Notamacropus eugenii: one gene and its partner. The protein of the gene in region 2 binds, or shares a complex with, the protein of the main gene of each other region. Links are inferred from orthologs where the notes say so. Each region holds a gene or a part of one and is shown on either strand. Other genes may lie near its edges.

Region 1 (11,236 bases), on a different chromosome or scaffold from region 2:
AAAGTCTGGTGACATTTGCTCTCACTAATTCTCTTTCTCCACCCCACTCCACCTTTGGCAGGCCCAGTGCATGATGTCGGCATTCTCACTGTTTGGAGGAGTTCTGTCCTAAGACAAAAGACAGGGCTTTGTCTGAGAAGTGGTTTACGTTCCCAAAGCAGATACCCAATGCCAAATGGAACCAGTTCCTGGCTTCTGTAACAGAGGGGTTTCTTCTCTTGCCCTCTGGGCACTAAGAAACCGAGAGACTTCAAGGTTTATAATAGGTCTTAAATTATTCCATTTCCCACTCCCACACATTAACAAGTATTTTCCATTTGCTGTCCCTCTCATGGGTAAAAAGAAAAGAAAAGAAAAAACCAGAATGCCAATAACCTCACCTTCCATAAAGAAATAGGAGAAAAGGCACATGTTGGAAACACACGTATCCCTTCATCCCCACTCCATCCTCAACAATGTCATCCATTGCCCTGCCCTGGCCTTCTCTGACCTAAGGTCTAGTCTGTCCTTGCATGGAAGTCTAAGAAGATTCCTAGATAATGTCAGGGATAGTATATTAAGCAATTATCAACCATCTTGCTGAGGGAGTGGGACAAAGGATGAGTTAGAATTGGCAGAGATGAAGATCATAGCATGCTGGGGAAGAGTAGATCCACAACAAGGACATGGGATTATATCTACCTTTTGGTATTTGCTCCATCATCTAAGATTTGGGGAAATAAGCTATTCCTTTTCTCCCTTCCTCTCTTTTCCTCTCCTTTCCTTCTTTCCTCTCTTTCTTTCCTTCTTTCAGAAATTGATGATTCTTTTTCCTTCTCTTTTTTCCTTCCCTCTTTTCCTTCTTTCCCTTACTTCTTTTCTTCCTTCAGGAAATAGATGGCTCTTTTTTCCTTCCTCCTTCCTTCCTTTCCTCCTTTCCTTTTCTTCTCTCTTTCCTCCTGTCTCTTTTTTCTTCCTTCCTTCCTTCTTTTCTTCAGAAAACAAATGGTTTTTCTCTCCTCCCTTTCTCCGTCCTTTCCCCATTCCTTTCTTCCTTTCCTTCTCACCTTTCTTTTTTCCTTTTATTCCTTCCTTTCCTTCCTTCCTTCTGGAAATATATGATTCCTTTTCTTCCTCCCTCTCTCCCTCCCTCTCTTCCTTCCTTTCTCCCTCCCTCTTGCCCCCCAAAGAACTTACATTTTAATGGAAGAGACAGCATGACTATAAATCAGCACCTACAGGGTAAATACAACATTGATGAAAGTTAGATTTGGAAATTAACTATGTAGCTCTTAGGTTGTTAGGTTACTTTTCCTACGTATTAGGTCAATCAATCAATAAGCATTTATTAAGCACCCACTACATGCCAGGCAAAGAATAAAGCAATTCCTGTTCTTAAGGAGCTTGCATTCTACCAGGGAAGACAAAATGTATATATATAATATGTGTATACATATAATGCAACGGATACCATATTGAATCATTATCAACCATTGATAGCATAGAGGTCACTTTATCATACTGAGGGGGTAGGACAAAGGATGAGTTTAAGTTGCTAAAAAAAATGTGTAAGGCACTGTTCCAGGTGCTGAGGATACAAAGAAAAAGAAACAGCTCTTGCCTTCCAATAACTTCCATTCTACTAGGGTTCTCTGACTACTGCTCATGAATTTTGTGCCTGTGGCCTTTCTCCTTCTGCTAGAACAGAAAGTCAAACTGAGTTTTTGCAAGTTTTTTGGGGATGGGGAGAGGGAGACATAAAACATCATACTTCTTCAACTATTCACCTTGTCAAAGAATCAGCAAATTTCAGAGTTGGGAGGTACCTTAAAAGCCATCTAGTCTAAATCTATGTCTGAACAAGAATCCCTTCTATGACCTACCTGACAAGTGGGCATCCAACCTTTGCTTGAAGAATGCTAGTAAGGCAGAAGCTAGCAGAACTCTTAATAGACCGGGGTGACTGGTACCTTGCCCCAGGCATAACATTTACAGAACTTTTACTCCTTCAGAAATATAGAAACAAACACTCAATGCCTAGTTCTCAAGAATGATGTAAGTTACCGAATGGCATCAGCACATCTCCTCTTCCCTCCCCCAACAGCTCCACCACAGGTAAGCACCCCTGGACAATCTGTTCTCTCCAGTCCACCCTCCCCAATAGTTGCCTCAAGGTATTTTGGGGTCTTTGTCTTGCTCACACAGGACAGTGAATCTCTCCCTTCTCAATTTTAAAAGCTGATTTGAGGGTACATTTCATACCATTTGCCACAAGTACAAAAAATGCCAGTTACAGTTCTGGATCCCATTCCCTATTTTGGGAACCCATTCCACTCTATTCCTGGTACAGAGCTCTGATGGATTTACAACTAACCTGGATCAATGAGATTTTCAAATCAAAAGGCAAACATTGTCTCCTACTCTAATCTCTGTCTCCCACTGCATCTTTATTATACCCTGGAATTTAGCTGGAAACTCTCTCAATTCCTGCTCATCTACACATTGCATCTCATTGCATTGTATTCTATTTATTACTTTGAAGGTGAGTTTAAGCTACCTGAGTGTTGGTAGCTGTAGGGTCCTCCTCTCATGTGGCATCTGCGAGCATCCAGGACAGAGCTATTTGTGCAGTGAGGTAGGTCCCTGGTTCATGCTATGGACATATTTGTAGCCACTACCCACTAAGAGTACAAGTCATACTTCAGTGCTCAAAGAAGACACCTGCAACCAACTCCTTCCCCGACTCCCTCCAAAGGCTTGCAATGTTGCCATATCTCAGAAAAATCACCATTTTCCTTGAACCTTAGATTCCCTTCCTACAATCATCTGGCAGAAGAGCTAGGATAAAGAAAGCCTCTGAAAGCTGAGACCTCTTACCTCCTAATATCTCTTCCTAATTTCTTCTGATTAGTGCCCAGCTTTAGCTATGCACCAGTCTCAGACTCCCAAGACACCATCTCCAGCCTCTGCTGGCTCATGATTGCTGGGCACCATCTCCCACTAGGCTTAAGCTGGAATGGTGAGACCCAGGCAGAGTTTCCCAAGCTTGACTGAAGAGTCTTCCTTCCCACCCTAACTTCACCACATACTTGAAGCCTTTGGACCACTTTATGGGACTCAGTTTCCCCCTGTGATAAAATGAAGGTGTTAGTCTAGAGGATCTAATTCTCTTCAAGCTCTAACATTTTCCATTTCTATGGTTCACCCATTGATAAAGACCTAGGGAGGGATGATACTAGGTACTGAAGGATATATAAAGATGGATAAGATATGGTCCTTACCCTGAAGGAACTCCTAGTCTATTATGAGAGATAAGAGTGAGAAACAAATAACTGGGGTGTGAAACAGTCTGATATACATATATAAATAAAGATAATAAGTACTAGAGGACAAACCAGGAAACCTCACAGAAATTGCATGTGAAATTTTTTCTTACAGCACTCATTGATTCATTTGTACCCATACTCTCTAAATCCCTTGTCTCTCTGAAGTACATGTTAACCTGTTGATATATCCTTCTAGGAAAAGGGCTTCACAGTGCCTAGTCTTGGGAGTGGGGGCTTCAGGTGACTCATCCCTATCTGTGGGCTTCAGTATTTCAAATCTTTGTTGTAAAATGATCAAATTGGTCAATGAGTCAAGTGCTTACCATGTACCAGAGGAAGCAGACAAAAAAGAAATAATGCCTCCCCCTCCAGCAGCTTATGTTCCTTCAGGGGAAGCAACATGGACATATATAAATAAATACAAAATACATACCAAGTAATTTCTGTGACTGGTAGATTCAGTAGTGGTCTCCTGAAGAAGAGAGCTTTGAAGGAGAGATGGCAATGAGGAAGAAACAAAGGCACGAAGACATAGAGAATGCTGCATGTGACCAATTGTGTCAGACCACAGAGTCAAAGAGAATAATGTGTAATAATCCTGGAAAGGTAAACTGGAGTCAGATTGTGATGTGTTTTTAATCCTGAGGAATTTGTTTTATCCAAGAGGTAATAGGAAGCCAGGGCAGCTAGGTGGCGCAGTGGATAGAGCATCAGATTTGGAATTAGGAAGACTCATCTTCATGAGTTCAAATCCAGCCTCAGATACTTACTAGCTATGTGACCCTGGGTGAGTCACTTAACCCTGTTTGCCTCAGTTTCCTCATCTGTAAAAATGAGCTGGAGAAGGAAATGGAAAGCCACTCCAGTGTGTTTGCCAAGAAAACCCCAAATGGGGTCATGAAGAGTCAGATTTGAGTGAACAACTTTTGGGTCAGAGCTAGAGGTAGCTAGGTAGCACCACACATAGCATGATAGGCCTGGAGTCAGGAAAACCTGAGTTCAAATCTGGCCTTAGATACTTACTGACAGTGTGATCCTGAATAAGTCACTTACATCTGTTAACCTCAATTTCCTCAACTACAAAATGAGGATAATATCAAAGTTGTTGTAAGGATCAAATGAGATGATATTTATAAAGCACTTAACACAGTGATATCCCTTAATAAATACTTATTTCCTTCTTTCCAACTGTGTTTTTGAAGAGTACTCCTGGTGTCGAGGGAGGGGGATATGGAGATTAAGGGAGGCTTCACGAAGTACTTACCATTTGAACTGACAAATAGTGGCTCCCCTGAGTGAGCCAGGACTGCTGCTATTGTCCCCTGAGATCAGATGATCAGGGGATTTGTACCTAAAAGGAATCCTCTACTCCACAGATTCTTAACCCTTTGTGTGTTATGACCTCTTCTGGCATTCTGGTGAAACCTATGCATCCCTTCTCAGAATATTTTTTTTAAAGTTTATAATTCAAGAAAATTCCAAATTTTGGAGTTCATTGAAAATAAAGATGTATTTTTCCCCACCCAAGTTTATGGACCCTGTGAAATCTGTGTACTCTTTGAGCATTCATCCCTTGAATAATATGAATTACCATTCATATTATTATTAATACTTAATATTTAAATAGAATGAATAACAATTCATGCTCCTTCAGCACTCTAAGGTTTATAAAACACTGTCCTCACAACAACCCAAAAAGGTCAATAGCGGGAGCATTCTTACTCTTACCATTTTACAGATGAAGAAGTAAAGGCACAGAATAGAGGCAAAGTAGCTCGCCACAACTAGTAAGTACCAAAGCCAGGGTATGAAACCCAGATTTTTTCATTCTGAGGCTAGGCTAGTCTTTTTCCCAACCACATCAACTCTGTCTCTTTGCTTCCTGGAGGAACAGAACTTTGAAGGAATCTTAGGATTTGGAGAAGCAACAGGAGAAGCAGCTGCCTCATTTATCTTTTCTCTGCTCCTCTTGGACATGTCTCTCCTCTCTCTTGCTACACATCCTTAGGTTACTGTGTTTTCCACAGCTTTCTATGCCAGAGGAGAAGGGTGGGGTGTGAATGAGGTAGCCCTCCCTCTCCTCAAGCATTGCTACTTAATTGGACTAATTTGGTTGCTAGACTCATAAAATGGCTGTCTCTTTCATGCAATACAGTCGGTTTCCATATTGGCTACTTACAGGGTTCCCCTTGGAGCCAAATGGCAGGGAACTCCATTTCTCAAGCAGGCCCCAAGAGAATTGGCTCATTATTGGCCTGGAAGAATTTCCACCAAGTAAAGTTCTTCTTGGAGTTGGCAGCAGCACAATTAAAAATTTCACCCATTCCTTCCAAGACAAAAGAAAATGCACACACACACATACATATACATATATACACACATGCATTTGTAGACATATACACACATGTACACACATACACATCTGTGCATAAATACAAATACATGCATACATATGGAAGATGCTCCTTTTATACCCCACTCTAAACCCCACCAACATACGCCATACAGCTTCAGCCCAAGCCAGATAATAAAGTGTTGCTGCTGTTCAGTCATTTTTCAGTCATGTCCAACTCTTCATGACCCCATGTGTAGTACTTCTTGGCAGAAGTACTTGAGTCATTTGCCATTTTCTTCTGCAGCTCATTTTACAGATGAGGAAACTAAGGCAAACAGGATTAAGTGACTTGCTAAGGGTCACACAGCTAGTAAATGTCTGAGATCAGATTTGAACTCAGAAAGATGAGTCTTCCTGACTCCAGGCTTGGCATTCTATCCACTGGGCCACCTAACTGCCCCAGATAGCAAATGGTTTTCTGTTATTCTACCATTTATTTGGCCATATATGTGTTTGATATTGAGGGGAATTATATTCTCCCCCTTATCCAAAATGATTCTTCATTCTTTCCTCTCTGGTTTCATCCTTCTTTTCAGATTTCTTCAAACTAGGATATTCAATGTACTTGGAATCAGGTCTTAGCTCTAGCTTGGTCCCTAAATCACTATGATTTTAGGGAATTCACTACTCTGAACCTCAGTTCCCTCATCTGTAAAGTGAAGATGTTGAAGTAGGTCTCTAAGGACTCTTCCAGCTCTGACAATGTATCTTCTAAAGTCCCTCTGAGCTGTGACATTCTATGTTCTGTATTCTAAATTCCCTTTGAGCTCTAACCTTGCATTGTTCACAAGCATAGGGAGAGTGAGGAGCAGCAGGGAAGATTTCATCCTTTTCCGGGCACATAGATGTGCTGCACTAACAGATCTGGGAGATCTGGATTGAGGTTTCAGTATTGCCTCTGGCTTGCTGCATGACCTGAGGAGCAACTATTAGTCTCGCTTTTCTTCATTTTGATCATTTGTCAAATGGAGGCGTTGGATTTCCCCCTCAATGGGGTTCTACAGGGAGATGATCTCTGAAAAAAAAAAAAAGTCCTTGGAAGGAAGGTTGTTGAAGACTCCAGATTATACACACTAATTTAGACAAAATGGCAGCCCATGTTCCTCTCCCCCAGCAAAATCAAGAGTCCCCATTTTCTAAGAAGAGTCCAGAGATGTCCTGGTTTAACTGGTACTACTTACAGATGGTTTTCCACTAGGTTGTGACTCCTGGTTTTAGCCCAAGTACAGAGAGGGTGTGTTCCCATCTTTCCAATGCCTGAGAATTACTCATTTAAAATTCATTTCAGTGGACTTTTTATATACCTATTTTATGTCTGTTTATTTAAGTTACTATGGTAGTGTCTCATGAATGATATTTAAGGAGAAACTTGGGCTTTCTAACTCAATTGCTGTAATTTTCCTTTAAAATTTCTCTCCTCCTACCTCCCCTGTCTCCTTTTGGAACAGGAGTCTGGTTGGACTGGACTGGGCTTCAGTTCAGGGGAGGAGAGAGTGCCCAACATGTGATCTGGGAATTGGGAATTTCGGAACAAAATCCCAGCTAAATCTCTCTGTCATGTCTTCATTTTTTCCCCCTTTCCCTCTCCTCTCTCCTTGTTAAAACAACATCTTTGGAGACTTAAACAAATCAGTGGAATGATTTTGTTCCCTTGCCTTTCTCCTGACTTTCTGAAGATCATTTCCCCCTCCCCCCCACCCAAATAATCCCTCCTCTTTCCTTTCCTCCTCTCTTCCCCCTCCCCTTCACCCAACTCCAAGTCAAGGGACCTTCTCATGCCTTCTGTTCGCCCCTACCTGGACCAGGTGCTCCTGAAGGAAAATATGGATAGCTTTTGTCTTGGCTTTGGACTGGGTAAGTTTTGGGTTTTTCTGCTTTTACTGGCTTTCAAATGGACAACTCCATCAGTGCTGCAAAGCAGGATGCACATGGACTACAAACCTGAAGGTTTTCCATGCATCTGTCTCCTATGAATGATACCTAGATAAAATAGCAATGGCACAAGAGTCAGAAGAACTGGGTTCAAATCCCAGACCAGCCCCTTGTAACTGTATCTTTGGGGAAGTCATTTGACTGTCCTTGGGACTTAATTTGATCTTCTGTAAAATGAGAGGGTTGAATTCCATGACCTCTGAGTTTCCTTCTGGATCTAAATCTATGATCCTATGTTATTATTAGGATTCCTAAATGAAAACTTAGGGCAATGGGAATAGGAACAGGAAGGGGGAAATTTAGGGAAGAAGAACAGTGGGGCAGAGCATATTCAGGGCCAGGATGATACTCCCTAGATGGGACTGTAATTTACAAACAATTTTTTGGTAGGCTCTAGGAGCTTTGCACTTTTATACTTTTCCCCTAAAGTTTTGTATTTGTAGGTAAATATTTGCTTCGCATTAGGCAGTACCATAGTCCATTGGTGAACCCATTTTTCTAACTGGTAAAACAAGGCAATGAAATAGTATCTAAACAACCTCCAGGTGGTAGCAGAGCCAGGAAAGACTGCTCCTGTGGTCCAGGCTACAGAAGTCAGAGTCCCTTAGGATTAAAAGCATTCCAAGACGCACAAGGTATGACTAGGTACAGAAGGACCAAAATTGGCCTAAGAGAGCTAGCTCTTCAGCAATATCTTCAAACATGACACATCCAATTTGGAGTATTGCTCCGCAGAACCAGCAAGACATTCAGGTCCGTGCTTTCTCTAGCTTTGTTTCTCCCTCCTCAAGACTACCAAATCCTAACATGAGGCTTGGGGCCTGGAGGGACTTGGAAGGGAAATTTGCAGGAGAACTTGGTCCCCAGACCTAATGTATTTTGCTCCAAACACATTTCCCCTTGATTTTTAAAACCCATGTCTGGATTGCAGAGTCCATCCGTCTGTTTTTAATTTATTCACACTAAACTCATCAGAATGTGCTTGGGTAACCACAGTTTGATGTCACCAAATGCTGCTAAACCTCCTTTTGCCTTTTATCTGAGGAAGAGGAAGCCAGGATTGTGCCAAAAGAAAACAGGATGAGTCAACCCTCACAATCCAAGTTGAAATTGACATCCAAGTCCAAGTGGTCTCAAGATTCAATGTAAGGCATTCCCCAGGCTCATTGGAAGTCCTTTATTAGATATCTCAGGCTTATCAATGCTGCTGGTGAAATTGTACTTGAATAGTGGATAGATGGATAATTTTAAAAAGCAATGATGATGATGATGATATAGCATTTATATAGCACTTACAGGCACTGTGCTAATCTCTTTATAAATATTATCTCATTTGTTCCTGAAAAGAACCCTGGGAAATAGGTGCTGTTATTATCCCTGTTTTATAGTTGAGGAAACTGAGGTAGACTTAAGTTTAAGATTAAGTGACTTGTCCAAGGTCACACAGCTCCTAAGTGTCTAAAGTTGGATTTGAACTTGGGGCTTCCTGACCCCAGACTTGGCACTCTGGCCCAACATAGGTGTTGGCTCTTACCTCCACTATCAGTGTTTTACAGTGGTTCACTGCACTTGGCCAGGGAGTATTCAGTACCAGCTGCAATCAGGCTTCTCTCAGATCTTATAGAATCCAATTCCAATACCAGTTCTGTCCTGTCTGGGGTGTGAGGAAAGGTTATTTTATGGGAGATCATGCATTTTCCTTGCAATGGTACCCTGGGGCATTTGGTGGGTAAACCTGGAGAGCCATAAGCTCCATGTAGGCATCAGGTTAGGGGGTAGACCCCAGGTTGGAAGGTGGTTGCTTCTTTCTTATTATTTATTGTCAGGATGGCAAAAGGCAGATCATGTGAAGGGGGATTGTGGTGGCACATATGAACAAAGTTCAAAAGAATCACCCAGATGATTGAATTGGTGAGGGAAGTAAGCAGAGATTGTCAGGATAGCACATTAAGAGGGAGGTAGCAACTCCAGATCAATGGGCCTACTCAGGGGCTGGGAACCTGCGGCCTCAAGACCACATGTGGCCCTCTACGTCCTCAAGAGTGGCCCTCCAACTTGGATTTAGTCAAAGGGCTACCCTTGAGAACCTAGAGAGCCACATGTGGCCTTGAGGCTGCAGGTTCTTCACACCTGGCTTAGCTCCACCTACCACCATCAACTGAAGGTCTTACAATCAACAGCTATGTTACAGGATGTGCCCAAATCAGTTCTTTCCAAGCGCCAAGACAGATACTTTGCAATGAGCAGCATCGTTTCTATATCTACATATAGGTAAATGAAAACTCAAACACTCTTAAGGCAGCTGTTTGCAGTTCTTGATTGCCAACCTCAATGAAAATGCATGAATACTTTGGCTCTGTCAGCGGATAAGGGTTTACCAGGGAATGAGGTATAAAAAGGTAGGGGTAGGTGTGTTTTACTTGGAAAGGGCATGTTTCAAAGTCCCACAGCTAGGGAGAGTAGGGAAGAGGGAAATTTTGTCAGATGTAACAAAGCCCGAGGCCTGGGACACTGCTCCATGGTCTGATTTCCTGGGGAGAGCCTCTTAGCCTAGATGGGGAAAGTCATCAGTCAGTCCGTTGTTATTTCTTTCAATTCCATTCCCCTACCCCCATTCTTCTTTTGCTTCAGTATGGGCAGCTGCCACGTCTGTCCTGCCCCACCCTCCTTTCTGTTCTTCTGTCAAAAGCTCTTGAGTTGGAGGGAAATAGATCCTGACAGCCTCTGTGCGAGCTTGGGCAATGAACTTGGGTCCCAAAGAAATAACTTTACCCTATGTGTCTGGAGCCAGGAGATCATTAAGAGGAAATGTGAGATCTAGTGAGTCAGAACTGGGACCTGCAGGGGTCGGATATATGTCGTCACTCAAGAAATCCCTTCCCATTCTTACTGTGATTTGGAAACTGATTCTTTGGCTGTATCCTCCTCCCTTCATTGCTTCCCAACCCCAATTTCACTAAACTCTGTGTTTCTTCTCAGGGTGGGCCCCAAGGCAGCTCTCTATTTGTCCTCTGAAGGCTGCACTTTAATAGGAGCCTTGGAGGAGGTGGGGGAGTGATCTGAAGGCCCTCTACAGGCTGTGTCCTGTGAACATCTGTGATGGCATCCTCATAACAAGGAGAATTGTCATGCCTCAAATTCCTGGAGTGCTTTGCCCCTGAAAATTTCCAAATAGCTTGAAGGTGTGGTTCCATGAGTTCACAAAGATCCCCCATTTTACAATTGGGAAAAAAGAGATCTAGAAAGAGTAAGCTATGTGGCCATGGTCCCAAAGCAAGGAAGAAAAAGAACCCAGAGATTGGAGACCTATGCTCCTTCTGCCAGAAGACACTGTGTCTCAATATCTTTGTGAGGTCAGAAAGAAGAAAAGACCTTCTAGCCTGGCCTGAGGGACATGAATCAAATTCTAAATTTCCTGGCTGCAGGAAAGAAAAAGGAGATGCTCATAGTTATCTGAAGCCCCACTAGAGAGGGGAGATTAAAGGGGAGGTTCATGAGTGAAGTTCATTTCCTTTATATCCTGAAATCCAGCTTTACCTCCTAGAAAAGTGAGACTCTTCTGGATTCAGACTCTACCCTCAAAAGAAGATGTCAGCTCAATGCT
Region 2 (10,405 bases):
CATCTCACCAAGATCTCAAATTCAACATGTGCAAAACTGAATTCATCATTTCTCCCCTCTTCCCAAACCTCCAACTCTCCCTAACTTCTCTATTTCTACTGACATCAACACCTTTTTCTTCTAGTATGCCAGACTGGTGTCATCTTTGATTTTTCTCTTTCCCTCATCCCCTATATATCCAGTTAGCTGACAAGTCATGTCATTTCTATCTCCACAATCTCTCTCATCAGGGTACTTTTCTCTTCCCTGACCACAGCCAAAACTCTGTTCACCTAAATGATCAAAACTGGATCCTAACTTCTTGCTTCCAAACTATTTCATGTCCAATCTAGTCTCCACACTAACCTATTAATTTTCCTAACACACCTCTATGATCATATTATGCCTTGTATTTAAAAGACTTCAGTGGCCTTCCAAATAAAATGTGAACTACAATAACATAAAAAAATGATACTAAAAAAAAGGTGAATGATATGTACTTGTAATGATCAATTTTATCCCCAGAGAAGAGACAAATATAGATATCTCCATCCTTTTGTTAGGGGGACTATTGCTGTGAAAGCTATATATGCAATTGGATTTGGTGTGTGTTTTTATTTAACTGTTTTTTGTTACAAGGGAGGACCCAGTAGGTGGCAGAATAAAGAGAATATATATTCAGTAATATATTACAAATGCAAAACCAAAAAAAAAATCAATAAACATTTTTTTAAATTAAGCATAAATTCCTGACCCTGACGTTAAAGAACTTTCACAACCTAGCATTGTTTACTTGTCCATTGTCATCTGATGTATGAGTCATTTGGCTTATCCTGTTATCTATCTTAGCCCAAACAAGTGACAGGAGAACACTGTCTTCTCTTGTTCTTCAAGATCTTCAATTCTTAATTCTCAAATTGGTATCCCAGATACTCTAAATATTTAGGAAATATTTAGGTAGGTACCTGTGCTATCTACTTCACAAAGTTACTGAAAGAAAAGTGCCTTCCTAAGTATTAAAAAGCTTCAATAATGTTAGCTCATACTGTCTAGGCATGATTTTTCACAAATGTCATATTCCAATCAAACTGAACTACTTTCTATCTCCCATTCTGCATCCTCCACCATGCACTCTCCTGTTTTCATGCTTTAGTCAATGCCCTATACTTGGAATTAAGTTGCCCCAGCATCAGTCTTAAGGAACTCAGCTGCCAGCTCTCATATGGCACTTTTTCTGCTCTTGCTCACTCTCTCTCTCTCTCCCTCTCTACTTCTGAGTGAAAGTGAACACCCCTTCAAATTTCTTGTCATACTTTGCCTGGGTCTCTCACATTTATTATCAAAATGTCCAAAATGGAACTCATTATCTTCTTCCCTAACAAATCCATCCCTCCTTCTCCCAGTTTCCCTATTTCTTTCAAGAGCACCATAATTCCTCTATAACAATCAATTTCCCAAACTTGGCATCATCCTTGATTTTGCTCCCCATATTAAGTCAGCTACTACAACTTGTCAACTTTGCTTCCATTTTTCACATATGTCCTCTTCTCTCAACTTATTCTAAATTAGCTCCTTGAGGATATTGGGTGTTTCAATTTTGCCTTTAAATCCCCAGTATTTAACAGTGTCTCACACAGAGTACGCACTTAATAAATGCCTGCTGGTTGACAGATTTAGGCTCCCACTTTCTCTAATCTGGACTACTGCAATAGCCTAACTATTCTTCTTATTTTCCATTTCTTCTCTCCAATCCATCCTCTCTACACAGCTACCAAATTAACAATCCAAAAGCACAGATCTGATCATGTCACGTTCTTGTTCAAGAAAGTTCAATGGCTCCCTATTGTCTCTAGGACATTTAGTGTCCTTCACTCTGCCTTCAACATATTTTACCAGACTGTCACAATCCTTTTCCCACATTGTACAGGATGTTGACATTCCTCCCTATGTATGGAATGTTGCCCTTTCTTAATGCTGCTTCTTGGAAGCTCTAGCTATTATATTTTTGCATTTATTTGTCTGTGTTTGTGTGTGCACGTGTGCATATGTTTGCATATATGTGTATATACAGCTTCTCCCAGTAGAATAACATTCATTTTGTCTCTATATAAAAAGTACACAACACATTGCCTTGATAAATATTATGTTCTTGATGAGTTTTTGTGGAACTGAATCTTACCAGACCTGGTACCAGAGGTGTACACTTGGCCTTTCTCCTCATTAAATTGTAAATGGAGTCTGTGTCATCTCTCAAGAAGCACTGAGAAATCATGGATGGAGTGCTGGATTTCAGTAAAACATATGCTCAAATCCAGCCTCAGGTACTAGCTATATAAAGGCAACCAAGTCACTTAACCTCTTTGAGTCTCAGTTTTCTCATCTGCAAAGGGACAGGAACCGGACCAGTGATCTCACTAGTAGAGGAAACTCCCAGATAGGAAAACTCCCTCCAGCAAATCAAGTTAGTACACCTTCTCTGCAACTTGTGGATGCCTGGAGTACTAAGAGATGAAGTGATTTTCTCAGGGTCACAGAGTTAGCATGTGTAACAGACAGGACTTGAGTCCAGGTCTTTCCAGTTTTGAGGCCAGCTTTCTATTCTCTAGACCATATGTTTCTTTAGAAGGAAGATAATAATAGCATCTACATTAGATGGTTTTAAGAAGGATATGCTATTATTAGATGGTTTTGTTTTGAGAGAATGTACCTTGTCATTTGATCCAATAAGTATTTATAGCATCACAGTGCTCAATGCTTAGGAAGACCAAATGAAACCAAGACCAAACAGAAACAACCTATACTCTCAAGGAGCTTATTTTCTACTATAGAGAAACAACACAAGCAAGTATAAAACAATACAAAGTAACAGGGGAAAGCACTGACAACTAGAGGAATAAGGAATATGGGGGTGGGCAGCAAAAAGACAAGTAAGAGCAGGAATGTCATCCGGATATTTGTTGGAAAGTATCCACTGTATCAAAACAAAGTCTAAAGACCATAGACAGCTAGGTGTCATGGTGGATAAAACACTGAATCCGGAGTCAGGAAGACCTGAGTAAGTTCAAATTCTGTGCACTAGCTGGATGACCCTGAGAAAGTCAATCTCCCTCAGCTTCAGTTTCCTCTTCTGTAAAATGGAGATAATAACAGGACCTACCTCCCAGAAACGTTGTTAGGGTTAAGCACGAGAAAACCTACGTACGCAAGTTCTGCAAACATCACTACACTCTATCAATGCCGGTGCAGTGCACAGGGTGGAAGGACCTAAGCCTTGGCCATTACTAGATCTCCGGGACTCTAAGGAAACCACGGGAAGTGTCTCCCTCAGTTTTCCAGTCGGAGAAGTGGGAATCACCACTTACCTCCCAGGGCTGTGGTGAAGCGAAAATGAGATGAAGCTAGCCAAGTGCTCCGCAAGCTCTAAAGCGCTATTATTCGTGCTACTTAATAGACTTTTTTCAAAAAAAAGCAGCGAACCCCACGCTCGATCGGAGGGCTGCTCGTGCTACAAGCTAGCCTCTGGATCGGAACAGCAGTTATTCGTGGGTTTGTGGCACGTCTGTTATTTCTTGAACATCCATGATGCCCTTCTGCTTCTCCTTTACAAAGAGTTTACTCGGGCTTGCAGGTAGAGGATCCTCGAGGCCACCTAGGTCCAGCCACTCCCCTGACGACCCCCCGCCAGGACGTCAGCAGCAACGCGGACCGCCTCTCCTCCCGTTTCCGGCCCGCCGCCTACAGCAGGGGACGGCAAGGGCTCTGCCAACCTGAGAGGGGTCCACCCGCTTCCAGCAGGACCCCAAACCTGTGTCTCCGCGCCCGACCGGGCCCGTCCTCCCCTCGGCCCCAAGCACTAACCTTCTGCCTCTCCCTGAGCCTTCATCCCGGAGGCGGGGAAGGAGGGCCTTCGCCCGCCACACAACGGGAGACACCCTTCCCCACCCACCAGCGGGGGGCCGAGCCGCTTCAGGCTTCCCGGGGCGCTGGGCTCCGGGGCCGCCCGCTCCGCCCCCCGCCTCCGGGAGGCTCAGTCCGAAGCGCCCGGCGGCAAAAGTTGAAGGGTGCCCGCGGCCGCCGCCATCTTCCCAACGGACCCTCCCCAAGGCTCGCGAGAGCAGCGGGGAGCCGGCGCACGGGCGTGCGTACATACGTATGCGTGCCTGGTGCAGAAGAAACACGCAAACAAGGCTCGCGGAAAGGGTCTCGCGAGATTTCGCCGACTTCCTCTTCCTCTTTCTTAGGGTTTGTGAGTTGCAGGTTCTCTCCAGTGGCTTTCACAGTTGGGAAAAACGCCTAGGGCTGACAATACTATGAGTTTGAAGAAGTAAGCGCTTGCAGAAATCGTTTTTCCAGTTTTGGCAACCAGAGAGTTTGCCGTCTAAGGCTTTTTGTTCGTAGCTGAGGAATCCTCTCATCGCTGTCATCCCAGCTCCTAGGTGTTTAGGGCTTGGAGGTGGCCAAGAGTTCCTCGTGCTTCATAAAACGTGCGGCGACCTTGCGAGGCAGAGAGCATGGCCGCTGTGGTGATCTCCACTTTACAGATAAGCGAACTCGGTGCTAGAGAGGTCTGGGGGGACTGTGGAGATCATTTACGCCAACCCCTTGGCTTTGCAAAAAAGAAACCAAAAAACACCAAAACTGAAATCTAGAGCGATTCGCCAGCAACATTAAACCCATACCAAGCGCCGGACACTGCTGGCGGTGGAGGGTACCAGTGCAAGAGTGACTTAGCCTTTGTCCTCAGGGAACTTAAATTCTAGTAATGTTTGACTTGCCTGAGGTCATGCAGATAGTAAAGAGCAAAGCTGGGCTTTGAAAAGTGGCTGTAACTCCCGATTACTGCTTTTTCACTTTCCACCATTCGTGGTTGTGTCCAAAGGTCATGGGTATAGTTAGTAGTAAAACCAGAATTTGAATGCAAATCTTATGGCTAGTCCAGGGCAGTTTTTATTACATGAAGAAACCACCCCTATTTTTCATGATCACCCACAAGCCTTAGGTTAAGAATAACCACTTTTCTCTCCAGCTTCATTGTTCTGATATAAAAATATATTAGAATAAGACAGCTGTTTCCATTAAGAATGCATTAGTCCGTGCGTCAATACCCTGTGGAGAAGTGCTTTTTAAGCAATATTAGAGCCAAGAGAAAATCAAGAAAGAGATTGGGCCACTCTGCAGGCAGTTGGGAGGGTAATGATGCATATCAAAAAACTCAATTCTTTTTTTCTGTTTTCCTTCCTAAGGAAATAAATCTGACAGGGAAGTTTCATGATTTTTTCCTTAGGCAAAGAAACTTACCAGCCTGGAGATGATTTTTCTTGGTGAGAAAAAAAAAAGCAACAATAAATAAATAAATTTTTAAAAAGAAAAAACAATAGTTGAATATGAAAGCCATTATCATTAGACTTTGGAATATTAAGCAAAAATAGTTGAAAGGAAAGAAACTCAAGTGAGAATGTAAGAAACTATCTGGCCTCGAATCGCTAGGCTTGAAAAAACTGCCTCTCGGAGTAGTGAAAAAATTTAAGGGATATGATTGCTGAGCGATGTTTGAAAAATCATGGAAGGAAGGAATGTTGCCAAAGGCCTTCTGATGAGCAAATGTCCTGGCTTTCAAACAGAGAAAAAAATTAGATTCCTTATACTGTGGGCCAATAAGCTTGACTTTCATTTCTGACAAAATTTTAAAACACTCTATAAAGGGTTAGCTTATGAACCCTTTAGGAAGGAAACAACGATCACCATGTACTATCAGACAAGATTGGGCTGTATGTGTTAGTTTTATTTTGCTGCTTTTTTCCCGTTATTCTTTGTTAAAAGGGTTATACTTTGTTACATGGGACAGGGTAGAAAAAGGGGACAGTTGTGATCAAGTATGAATGCAATCCAAAAACAAGATATCAATAAAAATTTTAAGAAAAAATTTTATATTAAATTAACTTCACTTGGTTTTTTTTGGTCAAGGTTTATAGATCAAGAAAGTGACATAAAAATAGCATATAAGGATTTCATCAAGACATTTGACAAAAGTGTTTTATAATAATACGCTTGTGAACAAGATGGAAAGATGTGGGCTACCTGATAGTACAGTTAGGAAGGTTTCAGGAACTGGTTAAACAGCTGCTCCCTCTTCCCCCAAATAGTTATTAATAGAATGATGTCAACCTGAAGGGACTCTAGTTAATGCCACCAGGCTTTCATCCTAGAGCTTTTACTTCTCAACATTTTTATTAGTTGCATGACAGACAGATGGCATACTTGTAAAATTGAAAATGTCACAAAGCTGAAAAGGATAGCAAATATGCTGAGTGACAGAATTGGGATCCCAGAAAATCTTGACAGGCTAGAGCAATGAGCAGAATCTAGGAAAAGAAAATAATCTGACAAAGATAAGGACTGGACTTAGAATTTCATTGGCATGAGGAGCCCCTCCTCTACCAGTATGTATGGGCACCTTCCCTGCAATGTGCAGTTGTGAAGAGTTGCCAAGAGTAATAAGAGGCTAAAGGACTTGTCATGAGTCACATAGCCAGTATATATCAGAGACAAGACACGAACCCAGACCTTCATGGTTTTAGTTCACCCTTCTTATCCACTATACTGTACTGCCTCACCATGCCAAATCTAATAGGATAAAATTTAATGTGATAAATGCAGAGTCCTTCACTCAAATTCAACAGACCAACTCTTCCATTACAGTCTATAGAAAACATGACTGACTAAATTTAGGACCTTTTAGTGCACTGTAAGCCCAAGATAAATCTCATCATGACAGCAGCTAAAAAAGCAAATATGATATATTGCATAATGGAAGTATAGTGTCCAAATTCAACCATAGTATGCCTGGCAGGGCCTATCTGTAATATTGCAACTGGTTCTGTGCAACATGTTTTAGGAAGGTCACAGACAGGAATTGCATACCAGCATAGTGCTGAAGATGCTAAGAAGATAGGAGGTAATGTCATCTGGAGATGGTTAGCCTGGAGAAGACTTTGTAGGAGGTAGAGAGGACAAAAGAAAATATTTGAAGAGGGATTGTACTTGGTCTTTTTTGGTCTTAGAAAACAAATTTTAAAAATTGTATAAAAGTAATAGAGGCAGATTTTAGACAACTATTCAAAAGTAGAATGGGTGTGGCAGCTAGGTAGCATAAAGGATAGAGCATCAGCCCTGGAATCAGGAGGATCTGAGTTCAAATCAGAATCTCAGACACTAGCTGTGTGACCCTGGGTAAGTCACTTAATGCCAATTACCTGAAAAAACGTGAAATGGATTGCTTCAGTTAGTAGTGAGCTCACAGCCTTTGAGAGTTGTAAAGCACCTCAGTGGCTAACTGGTCCAACTCATACAAAAAGAATCCGTACTCTTAATATAGCAGACAAAGACCTCCAAGGAAGAAGAGCCTACAACCTCTCAAAGCAGTTCTTTCTGGTATTGGATTCATCAAATTGTTAGAAAATTTTTCCTGACATTTCTACCCATTGTTCTTATTTGGAGGGGAGGTACTGTGTAATGAGTATAATCTCTCCTCCTCAAGATGGTCCTTCAGATTTTTTAAGGTAGCATTCCAGTTCTCATGTACCCTTTCACCCCTACCCCATTCTCCTTTATCCTTTGTTGAACATGTCCAATTCCTTTAGCCCATCTTCATTTGTCCCTTTCCATTTCTGTTGTCCTCCACTTTGCAATTTATATTGATATCTTTCATAAATCATGGTACTACAGTATTTAAGATGAGGTCTGATAAGGGCAGAGGACTGTGATATTATCCCCTCCCTGTTCTTGGAAGCTATAATACAGTGACTAGGTATATAGTAAAACTATTCCTAAGTGCTTTATGGATCTATGTCCCTCTTAATGTAGCCTTCTGGGAACATTAGTGCTAAGATAAATAATGGAGGATATGGGCATGCTAATTGCCATTTAAGCATGAAACCAAAAGAAAATACTCTAACATTAAAAAGGTGTTGTCGGTAACTGATTTTACTCCTATTTCTTCATAAAAATATTAGCAACTCCTATCTTCCCCATGAAAAACTTGTAAAAATTTATAAATGATCTAATTTTCTCAAAATTACAAAATAATGTTAGACATCTACACCAATTTGCATGAAGAAGCTAGGATAATATATGTAAAAACTATGATCTTATATTTGGAAAAAAATTGTAAATGTCCAGAGAATAAATAGAAGCTTGTTGCTTAAAATTTTTCCAGTTTGCTCAGGATCACACAGCCCATCTTCTGTCTGAGGCAGAACTTGAATCCAGCTCTCAAGCTTCAATGCCAGCGCTCTAGGCATGATAACACTCTGCCTCTTTAGTAGATGAAAGGAGGTAAATGTTCCATAATGGATATTTAATAAAATAATTGTTTATCTGAATTCGGGAGCTCTGAGTGATTCTTTGCATCAGACATAGAAGCCCAGCTGGAATTCACACAAAATGACATCCAGCTACTTGTATCTTCCTTCCCAAAACTACCTTTTATTTATTTTTCATACATTTTGTGTATACTTCGCCTAGAGTAATGTGCCAATTATTTGGGACTAGCAATTATCTGCATGTGTTTTCATTTTTGTGAAAGCTATGACTGAGCATGCAACTCTGCTGATACTAGTGACTCAGAATATCTGACCTAAACCAGATGAAACCAAATTAAGCTGGTGTCTTCACCTTGATTTCATCTTCTGTAACTGCTGAGTTTTAATTATGTGATTTTAAAGAGTGAATGTTTCTCCAAGGAAACATACAAATGTCTTACAGGGCACACTTCAGTGACTAACAGAGGTATTGCAGGAGGTGTTGGTGTGAAGTTAAGCATTTTAAGAATCATTCAAACCCAAAGTAAAACAGAATCTGTCTCACTGAAGCCCTAGGAAATGTTAAAAAAAAAAATACAACACCAGGAACTGACAAACTATTGTTGCAAAATAACTTAATTAATCCTCAGAAAAAAAAAAAGCAGACCTTAAGAGTAAGTAACCTGGAAGAAAGCTAAAGTTAGAGGACATTGAGATGACCAGTAAAAGAAGAAGCTGCTAACCATTTGTTAAGTAGAAAAAATTCTTGTCATGGACAAGACAGTACAAAGACTGGAGTGCAAAAGATTGAAAAGAGGTCATTTTTCTTGATAGATAAAGCATTTATTAAACACTACTGGCTAGGCACTGTGTTAAATGCTGGGACTAAGTAAAAGAAAAGCAATCCCTCCCCTCAAAGAGGTCACATACTAATAAGAGAAGACAATCCAGAAAAGGAATCTGAAAAGGGAAGAGGGGGAGGTTCCTTGCCTGAGGTCAAGGTGGAAAAGTTGCCTGGAGAGTTGTGGACTAATCCTTATTGACTGATGTTATTTGTCCTTCATTCCATGAATGAAGACCGCCATGACTCTGGGAGGTGATGCCACGCTATGCAAGTGAATTGAATTTAAGTAAGGGAGGGCTGTGCAAAGTCATCAGCCTCACTTTCTCCTCAGGAGCCATCTGGGTTCAGTGGCCAGATATAGATCAGGATAACTGCAGATGGCCCAAGTTGATGTGGGAGACCTTGACCTTTTCAAGTTAGGGTTTTTAACGTGTATCAGTTTAACTGAGGCAAACCCATTCGGTGATTAAAGCTTAATAAGAATTTTTATAAATATATGAATTTATATAAATAAAATATTTATTTTTATAATAAAATATTTTACATATAAATAAAATAAAATATTATACATATATAAATTTATATAAATAAAAAGAATCTTTATCTTACCTAGCCAAAAACCAAAAATTAAATAAATAAATAAAGATTGATCTGGCAGAGGAAGATCCTCAGAGTTTCTTTCCAAAATAGGAACAATTGCTATTTATGTTCATTCTGTGCCAACTGGAACCCCAAAAAATGACCAAGTAGGGCTTGGCCTGGGACTTATTTTTGACCAGTACATGACTGCCTGTATGATTTGGAATTAAAGCTTTTCTTCCAGGGGAAAAAAATAAGTTAGTACATCCTCAAATGGAAATGGGAGACTGGGAGATGCACGGTTTGGTGCCTCAGAGGGCACTAGGGGAAGTAGGGAAGTAGTACTAAGATTCCTGGAGGAAAATCAATTTTTCAAGTTCAGTGCTATTCCAAAATCATTGTCAGTATGGGCCCAGGTAAGCCTATAAAAGCTGAGCATCCAGTGCTAAAATATTCATCCCAAAAAAATTATTTGGGAGGATTTGTTTTTTAATGAGGCCTGGAACTTCTAGGGCTAGAGGAGCTGGAAATTTTGTGCCATTGAAGAAGGGATGAACGGATATCCTGAGAAGCAGAACTGTTTCCAAGTTACACAAATTCCCAAATGGAGACAGAATGAATACTACAGCACAGTCTTACTCCATGCCACACATCCCAGAAAGTCAAGAAATGTATCCAAGAAACAGAGAAATCACCTAGAAAC

Evidence for each region.
Region 1: the proteins of MED1 (region 2) and RXRA are in contact, whole or in part, in a crystal structure (PDB 1XDK), measured with the Mus musculus proteins. The link is inferred for Notamacropus eugenii from reciprocal best matches to the Homo sapiens genes MED1 and RXRA. Residues at the interface, in NP_001073587.1 of Mus musculus: Asn641, His642, Pro643, Met644, Leu645, Met646, Leu648, Leu649, Lys650, Asp651; in NP_035435.1 of Mus musculus: Phe282, Val285, Lys289, Phe294, Leu299, Gln302, Val303, Leu306, Arg307, Thr454, Phe455, Glu458, Met459, Glu461, Ala462, Pro463.

What each region holds. Positions count from the first base shown.
Region 1 is NC_092872.1:486,963,929-486,975,164, forward strand, and holds the start of RXRA (retinoic acid receptor RXR-alpha), read left to right. Parts: upstream 1-7,229; 5' UTR 7,230-7,475; coding exon 7,476-7,554; intron 7,555-11,236. UniProt on the Homo sapiens protein: Receptor for retinoic acid that acts as a transcription factor.
Region 2 is NC_092873.1:354,983,748-354,994,152, forward strand, and holds the start of MED1 (mediator of RNA polymerase II transcription subunit 1), read right to left. Parts: upstream 4,129-10,405; 5' UTR 3,863-4,128; coding exon 3,838-3,862; intron 1-3,837. UniProt on the Homo sapiens protein: Component of the Mediator complex, a coactivator involved in the regulated transcription of nearly all RNA polymerase II-dependent genes.